3 linked regions of the Macaca mulatta genome follow. The protein of the gene in region 1 interacts with the protein of each later gene in a pairwise test. Links are inferred from orthologs where the notes say so. Each region holds a gene or a part of one and is shown on either strand. Other genes may lie near its edges.

Region 1 (5,559 bases):
TGACTGAAGAAACAGTACTTACTGTAATTGTGTTCGATGCACTGAAATTTTCTACTTTATTCCCTTAAATTCAACACATACCTGTAGGCTGGTTGCAACCCATTAAAGTGGTTTTTATGATCCACTAGTGGGCTTTGAATCACAGTATGAAAAATTGTGTCTTCAATTTAAGGTATCAGCTAAGTTTTCCTAATGCACTCATCACAATCTGTTGTGGGAAATTAGTCTGCTGTTTTGAAAGAAGAGAAGAATTGTAAGACGAGAAGAAAGGTGAAGATGATGGGTTTTGCCCATTAGGGCTGTCGTGCTGTCCAGGGGTGAGGGGTGAGGGCAGTGAGTGTCCCAGGAGTGGAGGAGGCAGTGGCAAGGCAGCTGGGGGCAGGGCAGGTTATGCAAGCTGTGCTCCCTAAGACTGGACGGTCTTAAGAGTTCTAACGGGTCTTTGAATTCATTTAGTCTGACTTCCCACCCATTCAAGGAATGAAAAAGGTATTTTGTCTGCATTTATACTTTATTTTTTTCAGAGGCACAGGGATGCTCTAAAAACGGTTATTTCAGAAGGAAACCTTCTACTCTTCTCGTTATCTTTTGTGTCAGTGGTACTTCCGCATTTTTTGGTTTTGTTTGATTTTAGAGACAGGACCTCACTCTGTTGTACAGGCTAGAGTGCAGTGGAGCGATCACGGCTCCCTGCAGTCTGGAACTCTGGCTCAAGCCATCCTCCCACCTCAGCCTCTCCAGTAGCTGGGCCCATAGATGTGCACCACAGGTGGCTAATTTTTTTTTTTTTTTTTAATTTTTTGCAGACACAGGGTCTTGCTATGTTGCCTAGGCTGGTCTCAGACTCCTGGCCTCAAGCAATCCTCCCGCCTGGGCCTCTCAAAGCCTGGGATTCCAGGCGTGAGCCACCGTGCTGGCCCTGTGACGTTTTTATGGGTAAAATAGATCAGTTTAAGTAGTTCTCAACTTTAAGTAACTTCACAACTACAGGAGGCAGCTGCCAGCAACCTTATTTTTCTGATGGTAATTACAGTTTGTAAGCACTGTCCATGTGTCCCCTTGTATTTAACCGCCAGAGAAACTGCGTGGAAATCCCAGTAGACTAGGGAGTGGGTTGGTGCCCAAGTGCCCCGCGCCACTGAGCCTTGCTGTGTCTCCACAGGCCTTGGCAAGACGCGCAGGAAGACCAGCGCGCGGGACGCGTCCCCCACGCCCAGCACGGATGCTGAGTACCCCGCCAATGGCAGCAGCGCCGACCGCATCTACGACCTCAACATCCCGGCCTTTGTCAAGTTCGCCTATGTTGCCGAGCGGGAGGATGAGCTGTCCCTGGTGAAGGGGTCGCGTGTCACCGTCATGGAGAAGTGCAGCGACGGTTGGTGGCGGGGCAGCTACAACGGGCAGATCGGCTGGTTCCCCTCCAACTACGTCCTGGAGGAGGTGGACGAGGCAGCTGCGGAGTCCCCGAGCTTCCTGAGCCTGCGCAAGGGCGCCTCGCTGAGCAATGGCCAGGGCTCCCGCGTGCTGCACGTGGTCCAGACGCTGTACCCCTTCAGCTCAGTCACCGAGGAGGAGCTCAACTTCGAGAAGGGGGAGACCATGGAGGTGATCGAGAAGCCCGAGAACGACCCCGAGTGGTGGAAATGCAAAAATGCCCGGGGCCAGGTGGGCCTCGTCCCCAAAAACTACGTGGTGGTCCTCAGTGACGGGCCTGCCCTGCACCCTGCGCACGCCCCACAGATAAGCTACACCGGGCCCTCGTCCAGCGGGCGCTTCGCGGGCAGAGAGTGGTACTACGGGAACGTGACGCGGCACCAGGCCGAGTGTGCCCTCAACGAGCGGGGCGTGGAGGGCGACTTCCTCATTAGGGACAGCGAGTCCTCGGTAAGTGCGCTGCGCCCGCAGCTCTGGCTGGAGGCAGTAAATGCGCCTTGCACAGTGGCTCTGTGTGCCGCGCCCATTTCACATTGTGTGAGTACACTAGAAAGGCGGGAGATGCAGATGAATGCAATTTAGTGTAATGTTTGCTACTCCGTGATTTCCTTGCATCTGTTTTGGGGATCGTGGGTGTCCATTTCTGGAGGTGGGAGGTTAACTGAAAAAATGTTTGTAGCTGACAAAGGTGGTTCTGCTTCTCTCCGAAGATTCCCCCTCTTGTATTTTACAGACTCAAACGTCATTTTCTCTCCTGGTTGCCCATTGTGTGTACGTAGAAGGCCCGAGTGATTTACTTTGTTTCCACTCGGTCTGTTTCCCAGAGAAAGCAATCTTTGCAAGACTGGTGGCCGGTTTCTGACACCGCCTTTTGTTGTTTGCTTGCTTTCTCTTTGTAAACCGTATAATCCCAAGGTCATTGCCACGGCAGGCAGCGCCACTGAGTTCATCTCTGAAAAGCTTTTAAAGCACTTACGAGATGAATTGAAAAGAAAACAAGGGTTCTTGAGAGAGATGAGTTTTGTGTGTGTGCAGTGAGTGGGAGATATGAAGCCACTGGACTGGGGCAGCAGACCCACTTCCAGGGGTGGGCAGGCTGGGGGCAGTGAGTTTCAGACGTGGGGGTGGAGCCTGCATCCCAGAAGGCAGCCTTTTCGTGTGTGAAGGAAATATTCGACCAGTTTTGCAAACGTCTTTACAAATACACCTTCTACAATCGAGAGACTTCCAAAACAAGCATTTAGGAGTTTGATGTATTTGAATTGTATTGGTTCTAGTAGGCTTCAATTTCATTTTTAAATGCACACTGTAAGACTAGTAAGTATGTACTACCTGCTGCCCCTGCTGTCCTCTGAAAAGGTTACTGGCACAATAAATAAGTGCACATTCAGGAGTCCTGTTGACTGATCAGAGAGGCATTCAAAGCCCTCCAGAGAGAGGCAAGTGGGATCTTCTCCTCTTTGAGGAAGGAGCATCGTGGTGGTGGAAACTGGACTCCTTTGTGGTGTCATCAGTTTTGCGGAGCCTTAGATGTGCTTGGACGGGAATGCCAGCCTGAAAGCTAACTTCATCTGAAATCTGAACTCTGAGATTTTCTTATCAAGTCACCAGAGTTTATCATTCCTGGCAAGACATCACATTGAATTGTTCTCACATGACGAGAGCTCTGTGCACCATTTCCTTTAGATCGGGTTTGAAGCCTTAAGCAAATTAAGGACAGCAGCGCTTTTAACTCAATCGAGCAGAAACTTAGAGAAAGTGCTGGAAAACCAATTACAATATTAAGTGCTTGGTCCAGAGTCCTTAAGGGCTAAGTATAATGCACAAAATATGATCTTGGCTTAAAATGTTTGAGTTTGAAGAGACTTCTCAGAAGGAAGTCCTGCAGTGTGGAGACATTGCTCCCAGTCGTTCTTCTTTCTGCCTAAGATTTGGGGAGATGAAGAAAGACTTTAGAGAGTAGATGAAAAAGGTGTTCTCCAGGGTTGCTGGCCTTAGGGAGGACCTATGGCTTTTCTGTGGAACATGCACAGGTGGTCATTGTTGTCTGAATTCAGGGACCAGATCCCTTTGGATAAGGAGGGATGCATGCATTGGCTGGGTTTCATCTCAGAACTCTACACCCCACTGTCTCAGTTGCCTTGCATTGTTAGAGAATGAGCTAACTTTTTCAAAAGTACTAAAGCACTAATTGTTTGTATTTCCTTTTAACAATTTTTTAATTGGGGGCCTTTCAAGATGTTTTGCATTCTCTCCTAACTTAGAAAGTCAAGGAGCAACATGTATGATTCCAGGAATATAGGGTGGAAAGGGCTTTACTGGCACTTGCATCGGCTCTGCACACATAGCAGCACCGTCTTGGTCTGAGGCTCCACGTGGCCTGATGCTGTGCAGGGCAGCTTGTCCTGATGGATCTTGCCGTGACACAGGCCATTTTCAGCGCTTAGTGTGCATGCCTTGTGCCACGGGGATTCTACAAGAGCCCTGAGGTGTGTGGCTTCTTTTCTCCTGACCGCAGAACCGGGCCAGGTTTGCTGCGTTTCCTGTTCATGACCAAGGCTGTTCTCAGCTGTCATCTGTGACTGCCGGGGACCTGTCCTGGTGGACAAGTGGACAAGTCCTTTGCTTGTTTTTTTTTCCCCACCATCCGCTGCCTCCCCCCATCCCCATGTGTTTCCCTGCTCATTTTGCCATTTCTCAGGTTAGAGCTGGCTTTCACAGCCACCACCAGGCCACCAAGAGCCCTTAGGTTCATGTTCTGACATAATTCCTTCACAGCATGCCAGGATGGAAAGGTTTCTGAGGGGTTCAGCCTCCCTGCAGGACTCAGAGGCAGGCATCTTCATTTAATTTCCTTTTTTCTTGGAATCTTTGGGCCTGGACCTTTCATTGAGGTTACCACATGAAGCCTGGCTTCTGGATAAGCACAGCTGTTTCTTTTGGAATGGATCTTCAACATGCGTATCAGTTTTTAAAATACCCTGAGTGACTGCAGTGTAAATGAGCTAGACCCTTGCTTGATGATATTGAGAGGTGCTTATTTCAGGGAGGACAAACATTGCCACATCCTGCACTATCCACTATCAGTAAGTGCTGGGTATTTCAGAAGTATCTGTTGGATATGTTAGATGAATCAGTGAACTAACAAATGAACGAACCTGTTGGGCCCTCTTTCCTGTCCTGAACGTCAGTGCCTACTGCTTGTTCTTCCCTTTCTTCTTCCTCCCTCGCTCTCCTCTCTCATCTACAATTGTCGTTTATCCTTAGCAGCTAAAGGTGATATATTGTTGGTGCTTATTCTCCATATTTCATTATCATACCTTCAGCTGTGAGCTATACCTGCTTAAATCCAGAAAACTCAGAAATCCTACTCACCCTGTGTGTGTCCCTCATAAATCCTTTTATATTTTGTCCACATTGATGCTATGGATGTGGCTAGAAAGCTGTACTTAAAATGAACAGTAACCCTTTACTGGGTTTCTGGTAAACTGTACAAGTTGTCAGTATTTTATTAATTGCTGCATCCCCCATCCTTGTAAAAGTTGTTCAGAAAGTGACAGATCACAACTAGGATATGGTTGGAAAAGGTGCACAGCTGGCCTGGGTGACTTGCTGGACAGCATCAGCCACAAGTCTGGGAAGCCATTTTCCTCTGTAAGATTTTAGATACCGAAGAGGTCATGTATTTATTGTGTCCTGCAATAATATTAGATACTAATATTGTCATACAATACATTTGTTTCCAATAGAGAAAAACTCTCCTGCTAAGGATAATTTAATGCACATATTGGCCATACTAAAAGTCAATGGATGTTTCATTTCTCTTTTTAAAAATACATTAAAAGAGTTTGGCCAGGAAATTAATTAGAATAGTTCCTTTCTGTATTTTCAAAGTTATAATATTTCTTATAGAAATTATAACTTCTACCCAAAACTCTTATTTGCAGGCAATTTCATCATTCCATTTCTCTAAATAATGATTCTCAAACTGTGTACTGTGTATCAGAATTGCCTTGAGGCTTGTTAAAACAGAAATTGCTGGGTCCTACCTGCAGTGGTACTGATTCAGGAGGTCTGGGGCCCAAGAATTTGCATTTCTATTAATAACACGTTTCTTGGTGGTGA
Region 2 (5,659 bases), on another chromosome or scaffold:
AAGGGTACCGGGGGAGACCTGCCCCACTGCACCTTCCAGGTCCCTGCTGGAGCTCCTGGCCTGCACCAGCGCCTGCTTGGAGGAAGCGCGGTGGTCCCGGGGTGGGTGCCCTACCACCTGCACGAGGGAAGGCAGGCCCGGCCGGCAGCTGCTGGAGTCGGAGTCAACGCCCCCTGAGCTGCTGGTGTTCAGACAGGGCAGGCAGCCCCACTCCACGGTCTTGTGATGCCGCTCAGAGTGCTTTCCAGAGGACTCTGAGCTCCCTGTGTCCAGCTGTGGCCAGGGCCGGGGCTGCCTGTGGACCACACTCTGCTCGATGGCCAGTCCAGCTCCAGACCCCAGCCCTGCCCCCATCCAGCCCCACAAGACAGTGCAGCAGGGAGCCCCTCTTGCCTCCCAGGACCCAGGCCCAGATCATGGCAGGACAGTGACGGTCCCTCAACCCTAACGCATCCTACAGGTCAGAGAACTGAGCACTGGAAGGTTGAAGGGACTTATCCAGGGACACTAAGGGGTCCTTTAGTGTTCTGGGTCTTCACCTGCCAAGGTGAGCCCTCCCTTCTGGCCCCTGGGGAGTCCCTGCTCTGTGCAGTTACTTTTGCTTTGAGTTGGGCTCCAGGCTGATGAAGAGGTTGGGGTACCGGTGGGCAATGCTGTTCCAGTCCACGTCCTCCAGCCGAAAGCCCTGGCCAGGAAGCAACAGGCACGTGGTCCTCCCCTCCCGCAGGGCTCCAGGTCCCAGACCACACACGTGGGAGGCCCAGCTCACCTCCCCAGTGGGGGCCTGAATGTTTTCAGAGAGGTCACTTGGGTCCATCAGAGTCTCTGCCGTCACCACCTGCAAGAGGGGACCAGAGGCCAGTGGGCAGGGGCTGGGGTGAAGGGTACCCCTCCCCTACAGCACCTCTTCTCTTTGACCTCACCTGTGCTTTGAGGCCTCCTGATTCCTCCCTGCTGGAGCCCAGAGTTCCAGAGGCAGCCTGAGCAGGGCAGGCTTCCAGGCAGGCCAGGGCACCCCAGCAGAGGCACCCGATGAAAGGGGGAGGGCTGGGGAGGGCAGCCTGGGGCAGGAGGGCTTGGGGGACGGGCTCACCTCCACACTGCCAGTCTGGGATCGTAGCATGCGGCCCACCCACGAGGAGCGGGCCAGCTGCAGGAGGCAGGACTTCTGCAAGTTCTGTAGCTCGGCCTCCACCTCCTGCAGCGTGCGGGTGGTCTGCAACAGCCGCTCCTCCAGGTGCTCCTTCTCCTGCTCCGGGAGGGCCCGTGGGTGGTGGTGGGGGGGTCTTCTGCAGAAGGCCCCCAGGCCAGCCGCAGCCTGGCTCCCCAACACCAGGACCCTGCCCACTCCCTGTGCCCCCCGCCTCACCCACTGGGCTCGCTCTTTCTGTTCCTTCAACTCCAGGGTCAGCTTCTGGACCTGGTTCTGCAGGAACTTCTCCTGACTGTGGGAGCTCCTGGAGGAGGGGCGACCTCAGCAGCCCTCACCCCGCTCAGGCAGGGGGTTCCTAATGTCAGGTCAGGGGCTCCACTGCCACCTCGGCCCCAAGGGCACACAGTACAGCCCCACTGGGGCCGGCCAGCCTCTGGCTGGTCTGGGCAGGGGTCTAGCACCCATCCACATGTGCAGGGTTAGGGTTGAGGCTATAGCGTGTTAACTTAGGATCAGGGTGGAGGGTCAGCGTGGGTGAGGATGAGGGTAAGGATCTGACTCAGTGGTTGGGATTGGGGTCAGACAGAAACCAGGAGTCTGGGCGAGGACAGGGCAGGGTTGGGTTGGTTGGGGACTGTGCTGCAGACCTCTTGGGTGAAATCCCTGCCACTTCCTCCAGGATGTGGCAGAGCCGGGTGTCCTTGCCATTCTGGACGGCCCACCGCAAGGCCTGGATCTCCAGTTCTCGCTGCTTCCACAGCAGCCGCAGTGTGCGAGGGTCCAGGGACTCAAGAGCCAACCTGCAGCAGCAGCAACAGCAGCCCCTGCTGCTTACTCAGGCTGGGCCCCTGGCCACCTGGCCCAGGAGGCTCACCACTCCTCCCTCCCCTCCTTACTGCAGGTCAGCAGAGCAGGCCGCCCGTGTGGGGTGGGGCGTGGTGTCTGGCAGGCATGTGGGGGTCTCGGGGGCTGCAGGTGCGCCTGCTGGAGGTCCCAGGTGACCACTGACAGACTCTCGCTCTGTGGGGGACAGGAGAGCCTCTTCCTCGGCTTCTTCAACCCCCTGGCCAGACTTGGGGGCCATTCTCAATGTTCTTCAGGAGCGGAGGGGTGGGGGTCCCAAGCTGGCTATGTGTGCCTCATGTGGCCACACAGGTTGGAGCAGCCCAGGCGGCACCACTGCTCACAGAGCGTCGCTCTCTGAAGAGACTCACATGTGGATGTCCACACCCGTGTGTTTCTGACCAGGATGGGGCAGCAGGTCACCACCTGACATGTCCCTGGTATGTCCCCCTGCCACCCAGGTGCTGGCCCTTTGCCTGTGATGTGGTGTCCCTCTTTCTCTCTCTTGTACCCCCAGTTCAGGGCTCTACCCCCAGCACTCACCTGAGGCCAGACCTCCAAGCAGGCCTGGAGGGGAAGGGTTCTATACCGTTGCCATGGACACCAGCACCCAGAAAGGGAGGGGCTGTTTGTTACCAGGAGCCTCCAGGGAGACCCCAGACCAGGCCCCTGGGTGAGTTCTGGGCTGGGCCAGCCCAGCTTGGAGGTGTGAGAGGCTGAGCCACTGCTCAGCTTAGCGGGGGGACCACTTAGTGGCCAGCACCCTGAGGGAGGCCCCAGCATCCCCTACCTAGCCTGGCAGCACCTGCGGGATAAATATGGGGGCACTGCTGCCTGTGGGCCAGCCCAGCATAGCCATGGGTGTGTGGGGGAAGCAGACAGGTAACAGTGACAAGCTGGGGACTGTGCTGAACGCTAACTGGGAATAGTATGCCCCTGCCCACAGCCTCTTTTTAAATTAATAATTAATTTTTTAGAGACAGGGTCTTGCTCTGGTGCCCAGGCTGAGGTGCCTTGGTGTGATCACAGCTCACGGTAACCTCGAATTCCTGGGCTTAAGTGATCTTCCCACTTCCATCTCTTGAATTGCTGAGACTACAGGCACCTGCCTCCACCACCAGGCCCAGCCCACAGCTCCTTTGACCTCAGTGACAGGCCCTCACCTACCTGAACCCCCAAACTGAAGCCTCACCTTTCCCAGCCATCTCCACACACTCTGGGCTACCCTCAGGGGACCCTGTGGGCATTCTCATTACCATGGCACGTATTCCCTCTGCTCCAGGACAAAAACGAGGTCCCAGACCTGACCCACAAGACCCGAGCATTCCAGCCTTCACCCTCCACCTCGCCCTCACTCATTCACTCTTCACCTCTGCAACTTTCGACTATGTAAGGGCTCCCTAGCGGAGCACAGGAGACAGCCGGGCAGGAGACCCCTCCACGCCCATAACTCGTTCTGAGCTGGGCGGAACTGGCAATCAATGCTCCACAATGGCAATCAATGACCGCGAGGCTGCGGGGCCCTGGGCGGGACAGTAGGGTAGGGGGTGGAGGAGCGGCTTCCAGCCAGCTTCACTGTGCGTAAGGCCTGGCACTGGGTCCAAAAGCGGCAGGAAGGTGTAGGAGAAGAGCCTCAGCCAGAGTCCGGGCCTTCCCCTGAGCGGGCACCTTCCGCACCAGGGCTCGGCGCCCGCCAGCTCCGCAGAGTTCTACCTCCCTTGCCGCGACTGGTGATCCTGCGACCCCGCGACCCCTGCGCGTCCAGGCTACTGCCGCTGCGGTAGGCTCCAAAGGCTGGCCCGGGAAGCGAGGGGAGGGGCTGGCCCCTCTGCCCCTCAACGCAGGCGGGGGTTGCGGGATCCCAGGCCAGAGACCCTCCCTGGGCGGGAACCCGCCACACACTAGAAGGCTGCTGACGAAGTCGGCCCAGGAGCAGGGTCGGACACCTGTCTCGACGCGCAGCCCGCGGGTAGCAGCCGCCGCGTTTCCGCGTTGTTAGCCGGGTGGAGGTGGGGGCGGGGACCGCGGCTCGGCCCGTCCCTCCGACCCGCCCATACCTGGAGTCTCTGGGGGCGGGGCGCTGCGGCAGGCCAATGGATCGGGGAGGGGCGTGACAGAGACAGCCAATGGGCGCGGGGGAGGGGGCGGAACACCCGCGCTGAGCAGCCAATAGAGGCGCTGGGGGCGGGGCGTGCGGGCCGCGGGCCAATGGGGGCGCGGGTCCGGGGCGCGCCGCGGCGCTGGGGGCGGCAGGTTGCGGCGGCGCCTGAGCGGGTACAGAGGCTGGCGAGCGCCCAGGTGAGCCGCGCGGGGTCCCGGGGCCTCTCGAGTGCGGGGCGCTCCTCTAGCCGGCAGGGCGCCGACTCCAACTGGGGAGAGTTTTCCGCGATGCCGGGACGGAGGGCGGGGGCGGTGCCGCACCTGCGCCCTCCCTGCGGAGCGGGGACGCCCTGGCTCCCGCCAGGCTGGGGTCGCGGCGCGGGCATCCCTGCCTGCCGCGGGGACCGGGACCTTCGGGGCGAGTGCAGCGATTGGGCGGCAGCGGCGGGGCTCCCCGCGGTGGCTGGGGCTGTTCAGACCCCGAGTACGCCCGATCTGCAGGGTCGAGGTCTTGGTCGCGACCCCGAGCGCCTCTGCGGCCTGAGCAGGTCCGGGTGGGGCGTTCCCATGGCGGCGGCCGCGGGGCCTGGCGTGCGGGCGCCTCCGCGCCGCCCGGGGAGGGGGCAGTGCCCTCCGAGCCAGGTGAGGCGGGCAGGAAATCCTGGATCTGGTTAATGATTCTCCTTGTTCCGGGAGTGCGGGCGTGGCAAGAGTAGGCTGGTGAAGTGGGGGAGGATGCGTGCTCCGGAGGGCCGCCACCCTAGGAATGTGTGGCCGGCGGGTGGGGCTGGCACAGGAGGGTTGGGCCCATGCTGAGGGGTCGCAGCCCAGCCGTTTCTAGGGCAGTCCAGGAGAAGGAAGAGAGGAGGACCAGGCTTTGATAGGGGTAGGTAGGTCCTGACCCTGTGGCCTGCACCCTCCCCACAGAACAGGGATGTTGTTGGGGCTGGCGGCCATGGAGCTGAAGGTGTGGGTGGATGGCATCCAGCGTGTGGTCTGTGGGGTCTCGGAGCAGACCACCTGCCAGGAAGTGGTCATCGCACTGGCCCAAGCAATAGGTGAGTCCTCTTGGGGTTAGGCAGGCTGGGCAGGTAGAGCTGAAGTGGGACCTGGTGGTCCGGCCCCATGGTCCCCCAGAAGGAGAGTGGTCCAGCCCCGTGGCCACCCCCCCCCCCGGAGGAGAGTGGTCCAGCCCCGTGGCACCCCCCGGAGGAGAGTGGGACTGGTTGCTGATCCTTTTGGTCCTCCCCAATTCCTTAAGCCAGGTGGACAGAGAGTTGGGGGGACATAGGCTGATCTTCTCCTCTCCCCCCCAGGCCAGACTGGCCGCTTTGTGCTTGTGCAGCGGCTTAGGGAGAAGGAGCGGCAGCTGCTGCCAGAGGAGTGTCCAGTGGGCGCCCAGGCCACCTGCGGACAGTTCGCCAGTGATGTCCAGTTTGTCCTGAGGCGCACAGGGCCCAGCCTGGCTGGGAGGCCCTCCTCAGACAACTGTCCACCCCCGGAACGCTGCCCAATTCGTGCCAGCCTCCCTGCAAAGCCACGGGCAGCGCTGGGCTGTGAGCC
Region 3 (5,559 bases), about 50 Mb from region 1:
CCTCCTAACTTTTCCAGACTTGCATTTGTCTGACTGGGGGACAACTCCTAAAGATTGGATACAGCCTATCCATTAGATCTGAATGAAGTTTTTCTTTCAGATTTTTAAACATTCTTTGAGATAAAAATGGGCGTTCCCATGGGGTGTTGTGGAACCAAAATTGGGACTCACTGATCCTCCCACAGTCTGGGATGTGAGAATGTTGCTAGTCTTTTTTCCATGGAAGTATTTTATGAGTACCCTCTCATTTTAACAATATCAACAATTAGTGTGTTTCAGACTAAGACTGAAAGCATCTCTAGGGCCATATAACATTGTAGTGAGTTGACCTTCTCCCCTTTTTTTGAATCTCTATGAAATGTTTGCCTATTTAGAAAGTTCACCTGCCACCCAGGGGGGAATAGAAAGCTGGGATTTAGGAAGCCAAAAAGTTTCCTTGGGTCACCTTGTCCAAGTTTCTCACTTAACAAAGAGGAAACAGAGGCACATGGAGATGAGATGGCTTGCCCCAAATTACAGCTGATGGGACTGGAAAGTTTAGAAGACATTTGTTTAGGTGCCTAGAATGTAGGGACCTTCATTCTCAAGCCAGAACTGGCCAGGATTTTTCTGCTTTGGGGACTGGATATCAAATTCCTAGAACTGAGTTTAATGGCAGGAAGACTGATTGGACCAATATTTACTGGGTACCCATGCTCAGACGTGCCAGGCACAGGAGTAGGTCAGTGAGGGTTTAGGGCTTGGGGTTGAGGGGTGGGGGCAGGGAAGGCTGGAGGTGGAACATAAATAAGCAATTGCTGATGCCCGCCTCAGTGATTAAACATTGATGTTGGTGTTGTATTATTTTGCAGGTAAAGATGAGCCCAGCAGCTACACATGTACAACTTGCAAACAGCCATTCACCAGTGCATGGTTTCTCTTGCAACACGCACAGAACACTCATGGATTAAGAATCTACTTAGAAAGCGAACACGGAAGTCCCCTGACCCCGCGGGTTGGTATCCCTTCAGGACTAGGTGCAGAATGTCCTTCCCAGCCACCTCTCCATGGGATTCATATTGCAGACAATAACCCCTTTAACCTGCTAAGAATACCAGGATCAGTATCGAGAGAGGCTTCCGGCCTGGCAGAAGGGCGCTTTCCACCCACTCCCCCCCTGTTTAGTCCACCACCGAGACATCACTTGGACCCCCACCGCATAGAGCGCCTGGGGGCGGAAGAGATGGCCCTGGCCACCCATCACCCGAGTGCCTTTGACAGGGTGCTGCGGTTGAATCCAATGGCTATGGAGCCTCCCGCCATGGATTTCTCTAGGAGACTTAGAGAGCTGGCAGGGAACACGTCTAGCCCACCGCTGTCCCCAGGCCGGCCCAGCCCTATGCAAAGGTTACTGCAACCATTCCAGCCAGGTAGCAAGCCGCCCTTCCTGGCGACGCCCCCCCTCCCTCCTCTGCAATCCGCCCCTCCTCCCTCCCAGCCCCCGGTCAAGTCCAAGTCATGCGAGTTCTGCGGCAAGACGTTCAAATTTCAGAGCAACCTGGTGGTGCACCGGCGCAGCCACACGGGCGAGAAGCCCTACAAGTGCAACCTGTGCGACCACGCGTGCACCCAGGCCAGCAAGCTGAAGCGTCACATGAAGACGCACATGCACAAATCATCCCCCATGACGGTCAAGTCCGACGACGGTCTCTCTACCGCCAGCTCCCCGGAACCCGGCACCAGCGACCTGGTGGGCAGCGCCAGCAGCGCGCTCAAGTCCGTGGTGGCCAAGTTCAAGAGCGAGAACGACCCCAACCTGATCCCGGAGAACGGGGATGAGGAGGAAGAGGAGGACGACGAGGAAGAGGAAGAAGAGGAGGAAGAGGAGGAGGAGGAGCTGACGGAGAGCGAGAGGGTGGACTACGGCTTCGGGCTGAGCCTGGAGGCGGCGCGCCACCACGAGAACAGCTCGCGGGGCGCGGTGGTGGGCGTGGGCGACGAGAGCCGCGCCCTGCCCGACGTCATGCAGGGCATGGTGCTCAGCTCCATGCAGCACTTCAGCGAGGCCTTCCACCAGGTCCTGGGCGAGAAGCATAAGCGCGGCCACCTGGCCGAGGCCGAGGGCCACAGGGACACTTGCGACGAAGACTCGGTGGCCGGCGAGTCGGACCGCATAGACGATGGCACTGTTAACGGCCGTGGCTGCTCCCCGGGCGAGTCGGCCTCGGGGGGCCTGTCCAAAAAGCTGCTGCTGGGCAGCCCCAGCTCGCTGAGCCCCTTCTCTAAGCGCATCAAGCTCGAGAAGGAGTTCGATCTGCCCCCGGCAGCGATGCCCAACACGGAGAACGTGTACTCGCAGTGGCTCGCCGGCTACGCGGCCTCCAGGCAGCTCAAAGATCCCTTCCTTAGCTTCGGAGACTCCAGACAATCGCCTTTTGCCTCCTCGTCGGAGCACTCCTCGGAGAACGGGAGCTTGCGCTTCTCCACACCGCCCGGGGAGCTGGACGGAGGGATCTCGGGGCGCAGCGGCACGGGAAGTGGAGGGAGCACGCCCCATATTAGTGGTCCGGGCCCGGGCAGGCCCAGCTCAAAAGAGGGCAGACGCAGCGACACTTGTGAGTACTGTGGGAAAGTCTTCAAGAACTGTAGCAATCTCACTGTCCACAGGAGAAGCCACACGGGCGAAAGGCCTTATAAATGCGAGCTGTGCAACTATGCCTGTGCCCAGAGTAGCAAGCTCACCAGGCACATGAAAACGCATGGCCAGGTGGGGAAGGACGTTTACAAATGTGAAATTTGTAAGATGCCTTTTAGCGTGTACAGTACCCTGGAGAAACACATGAAAAAATGGCACAGTGATCGAGTGTTGAATAATGATATAAAAACTGAATAGAGGTATATTAATACCCCTCCCTCACTCCCACCTGACACCCCCTTTTTCACCACTCCCCTTCCCCATCGCCCTCCAGCCCCACTCCCTGTAGGATTTTTTTCTAGTCCCATGTGATTTAAACAAACAAACAAACAAACAGAAGTAATGAAGCTAAGAATATGAGAGTGCTTGTCACCAGCACACCTGTTTTTTTTTTTCTTTTTCTTTTTCTTTTTTCTTTTTCCTTTTTTTTTTTTTCCTTTATGTTCTCACCGTTTGAATGCATGATCTGTATGGGGCAATACTATTGCATTTTACGCAAACTTTGAGCCTTTCTCTTGTGCAATAATTTACATGTTGTGTATGTTTTTTTTTAAACTTAGACAGCATGTATGGTATGTTATGGCTATTTTAAATTGTCCCTAATTCGTTGCTGAGCAAACATGTTGCTGTTTCCAGTTCCGTTCTGAGAGAAAAAGAGAGAGAGAGAAAAAGACCATGCTGCATACATTCTGTAATACATATCATGTACAGTTTTATTTTATAACGTGAGGAGGAAAAACAGTCTTTGGATTAACCCTCTATAGACAGAATAGATAGCACGGAAAAAAAATCTCTATGAGCTAAATGTCTGTCTCTAAAGGGTTAAATGTATCAATTGGAGAGGAAGAAGAAAAGGCCTTGAATTGACAAACTAACAGAAAAACAGAACAAGTTTATTCTATCATTTGGTTTTAAAATATGAGTGCCTTGGATCTATTAAAACCACATTGATGGTTCTTTCTACTTGTTATAAACTTGTAGCTTAATTCAGCATTGGGTGAGGTAATAAACCTTAGGAACTAGCATATAATTCTATATTGTATTTCTCACAACAATGGCTACCTAAAAATATGACCCATTATGTCCTAGTTAATCATCATTTTTCCTTTAGTTTAATTTTATAAACAAAACTGATTATACCAGTATAAAAGCTACTTTGCTCCTGGTGAGAGCTTAAAAGAAATGGGCTGTTTTGCCCAAAGTTTTATTTTTTTTAAACAGTGATTAAATTGAATGTGTAATGTGCAAAAGCCCTGGAACGCAATTAAATACACTAGTAAGGAGTTCATTTTATGAAGATATTTGCTTTAATAATGTCTCTTTAAAAATTCTGGCACCAAAAGAAATAGATCCAGATCTACTTGGTTGTCAAGTGGACAATCAAATGATAAACTTTAAGACCTTGGATACCATATTGAAAGGAAGAGGCTGACAATAAGGTTTGACAGAGGGGAACAGAAGAAAATAATATGATTTATTAGCACAACGTGGTACTATTTGCCATTTAAAACTAGAACAGGTATATAAGCTAATATTGATACAATGATGATTAACTATGAATTCTTAAGACTTGCGTTTAAATGTGACATTCTTAAAAAAAGAAGAGAAAGAATTTTAAGAGTAGCAGTATATATGTCTGTGCTCCCTAAAAGTTGTACTTCATTTCTTTTCCATACACTGTGTGCTATTTGTGTTAACATGGAAGAGGATTCATTGTTTTTGTTTTTATTTTTTTAATTTTTTCTTTTTTATTAAGCTAGCATCTGCCCCAGTTGGTGTTCAAATAGCACTTGACTCTGCCTGTGATATCTGTATCTTTTCTCTAATCAGAGATACAGAGGTTGAGTATAAAATAAACCTGCTCAGATAGGACAATTAAGTGCACTGTACAATTTTCCCAGTTTACAGGTCTATACTTAAGGGAAAAGTTGCAAGAATGCTGAAAAAAAAATTGAACACAATCTCATTGAGGAGCATTTTTAAAAAACTAAAAAAAAAAAAAACTTTGCCAGCCATTTACTTGACTATTGAGCTTACTTACTTGGACGCAACATTGCAAGCGCTGTGAATGGAAACAGAATACACTTAACATAGAAATGAATGATTGCTTTCGCTTCTACAGTGCAAGGATTTTTTTGTACAAAACTTTTTTAAATATAAATGTTAAGAAAAAATTTTTTAAAAAAACACTTCATTATGTTTAGGGGGGAACTGCATTTTAGGGTTCCATTGTCTTGGTGGTGTTACAAGACTTGTTATCCATTTAAAAATGGTAGTGGAAATTCTATGCCTTGGATACACACCGCTCTTCAGGTTGTAAAAAAAAAAAACATACATTGGGGAAAGGTTTAAGATTATATAGTACTTAAATATAGGAAAATGCACACTCATGTTGATTCCTATGCTAAAATACATTTATGGTCTTTTTTCTGTATTTCTAGAATGGTATTTGAATTAAATGTTCATCTAGTGTTAGGCACTATAGTATTTATATTGAAGCTTGTATTTTTAACTGTTGCTTGTTCTCTTAAAAGGTATCAATGTACCTTTTTCGGTAGTGGAAAAAAAAAAAAGACAGGCTGCCACAGTATATTTTTTTAATTTGGCAGGATAATATACTGCAAATTATTTGTATGCTTCAAAAAAAAGAGAGAAACAAAAACGTGTGACATTACAGATGAGAAGCCATATAATGGCGGTTTGGGGGAGCCTGCTAGAATGTCACATGGATGGCTGTCATAGGGGTTGTACATATCCTTTTTTGTTCCTTTTTCCTGCTGCCATACTGTATGCAGTACTGCAAGCTAATAACGTTGGTTTGTTATGTAGTGTGCTTTTTGTCCCTTTCCTTCTATCACCCTACATTCCAGCATCTTACCTTCATA

Evidence for each region.
Region 2: the proteins of NCK2 (region 1) and RASSF7 interact in binary tests that used the Homo sapiens proteins (3 or more experiments, as listed by UniProt). The two-hybrid records come from large-scale screens. The link is inferred for Macaca mulatta from reciprocal best matches to the Homo sapiens genes NCK2 and RASSF7.
Region 3: the proteins of NCK2 (region 1) and BCL11A interact in binary tests that used the Homo sapiens proteins (3 or more experiments, as listed by UniProt). The two-hybrid records come from large-scale screens. The link is inferred for Macaca mulatta from reciprocal best matches to the Homo sapiens genes NCK2 and BCL11A.

What each region holds. Positions count from the first base shown.
Region 1 is NC_133418.1:13,978,544-13,984,102, forward strand, and holds part of NCK2 (cytoplasmic protein NCK2), read left to right. Parts: intron 1-1,162; coding exon 1,163-1,884; intron 1,885-5,559. UniProt on the Homo sapiens protein: Adapter protein which associates with tyrosine-phosphorylated growth factor receptors or their cellular substrates. Maintains low levels of EIF2S1 phosphorylation by promoting its dephosphorylation by PP1.
Region 2 is NC_133419.1:446,947-452,605, forward strand, and holds the start of RASSF7 (ras association domain-containing protein 7), read left to right. Parts: upstream 1-2,242; coding exon 2,243-2,669; intron 2,670-3,676; coding exon 3,677-3,776; intron 3,777-4,247; exon of another isoform or gene 4,248-4,738; intron 4,739-5,023; coding exon 5,024-5,154; intron 5,155-5,412; coding exon 5,413-5,659. Other genes in the region: LMNTD2 (lamin tail domain-containing protein 2), read right to left, coding at 33-295, 597-685, 770-838, 1,094-1,457, 1,801-1,977, 2,050-2,237. UniProt on the Homo sapiens protein: Negatively regulates stress-induced JNK activation and apoptosis by promoting MAP2K7 phosphorylation and inhibiting its ability to activate JNK.
Region 3 is NC_133418.1:64,330,567-64,336,125, forward strand, and holds part of BCL11A (BCL11 transcription factor A), read left to right. Parts: intron 1-851; coding exon 852-2,872; 3' UTR 2,873-2,874; intron 2,875-5,559. UniProt on the Homo sapiens protein: Transcription factor. Associated with the BAF SWI/SNF chromatin remodeling complex. Binds to the 5'-TGACCA-3' sequence motif in regulatory regions of target genes, including a distal promoter of the HBG1 hemoglobin subunit gamma-1 gene.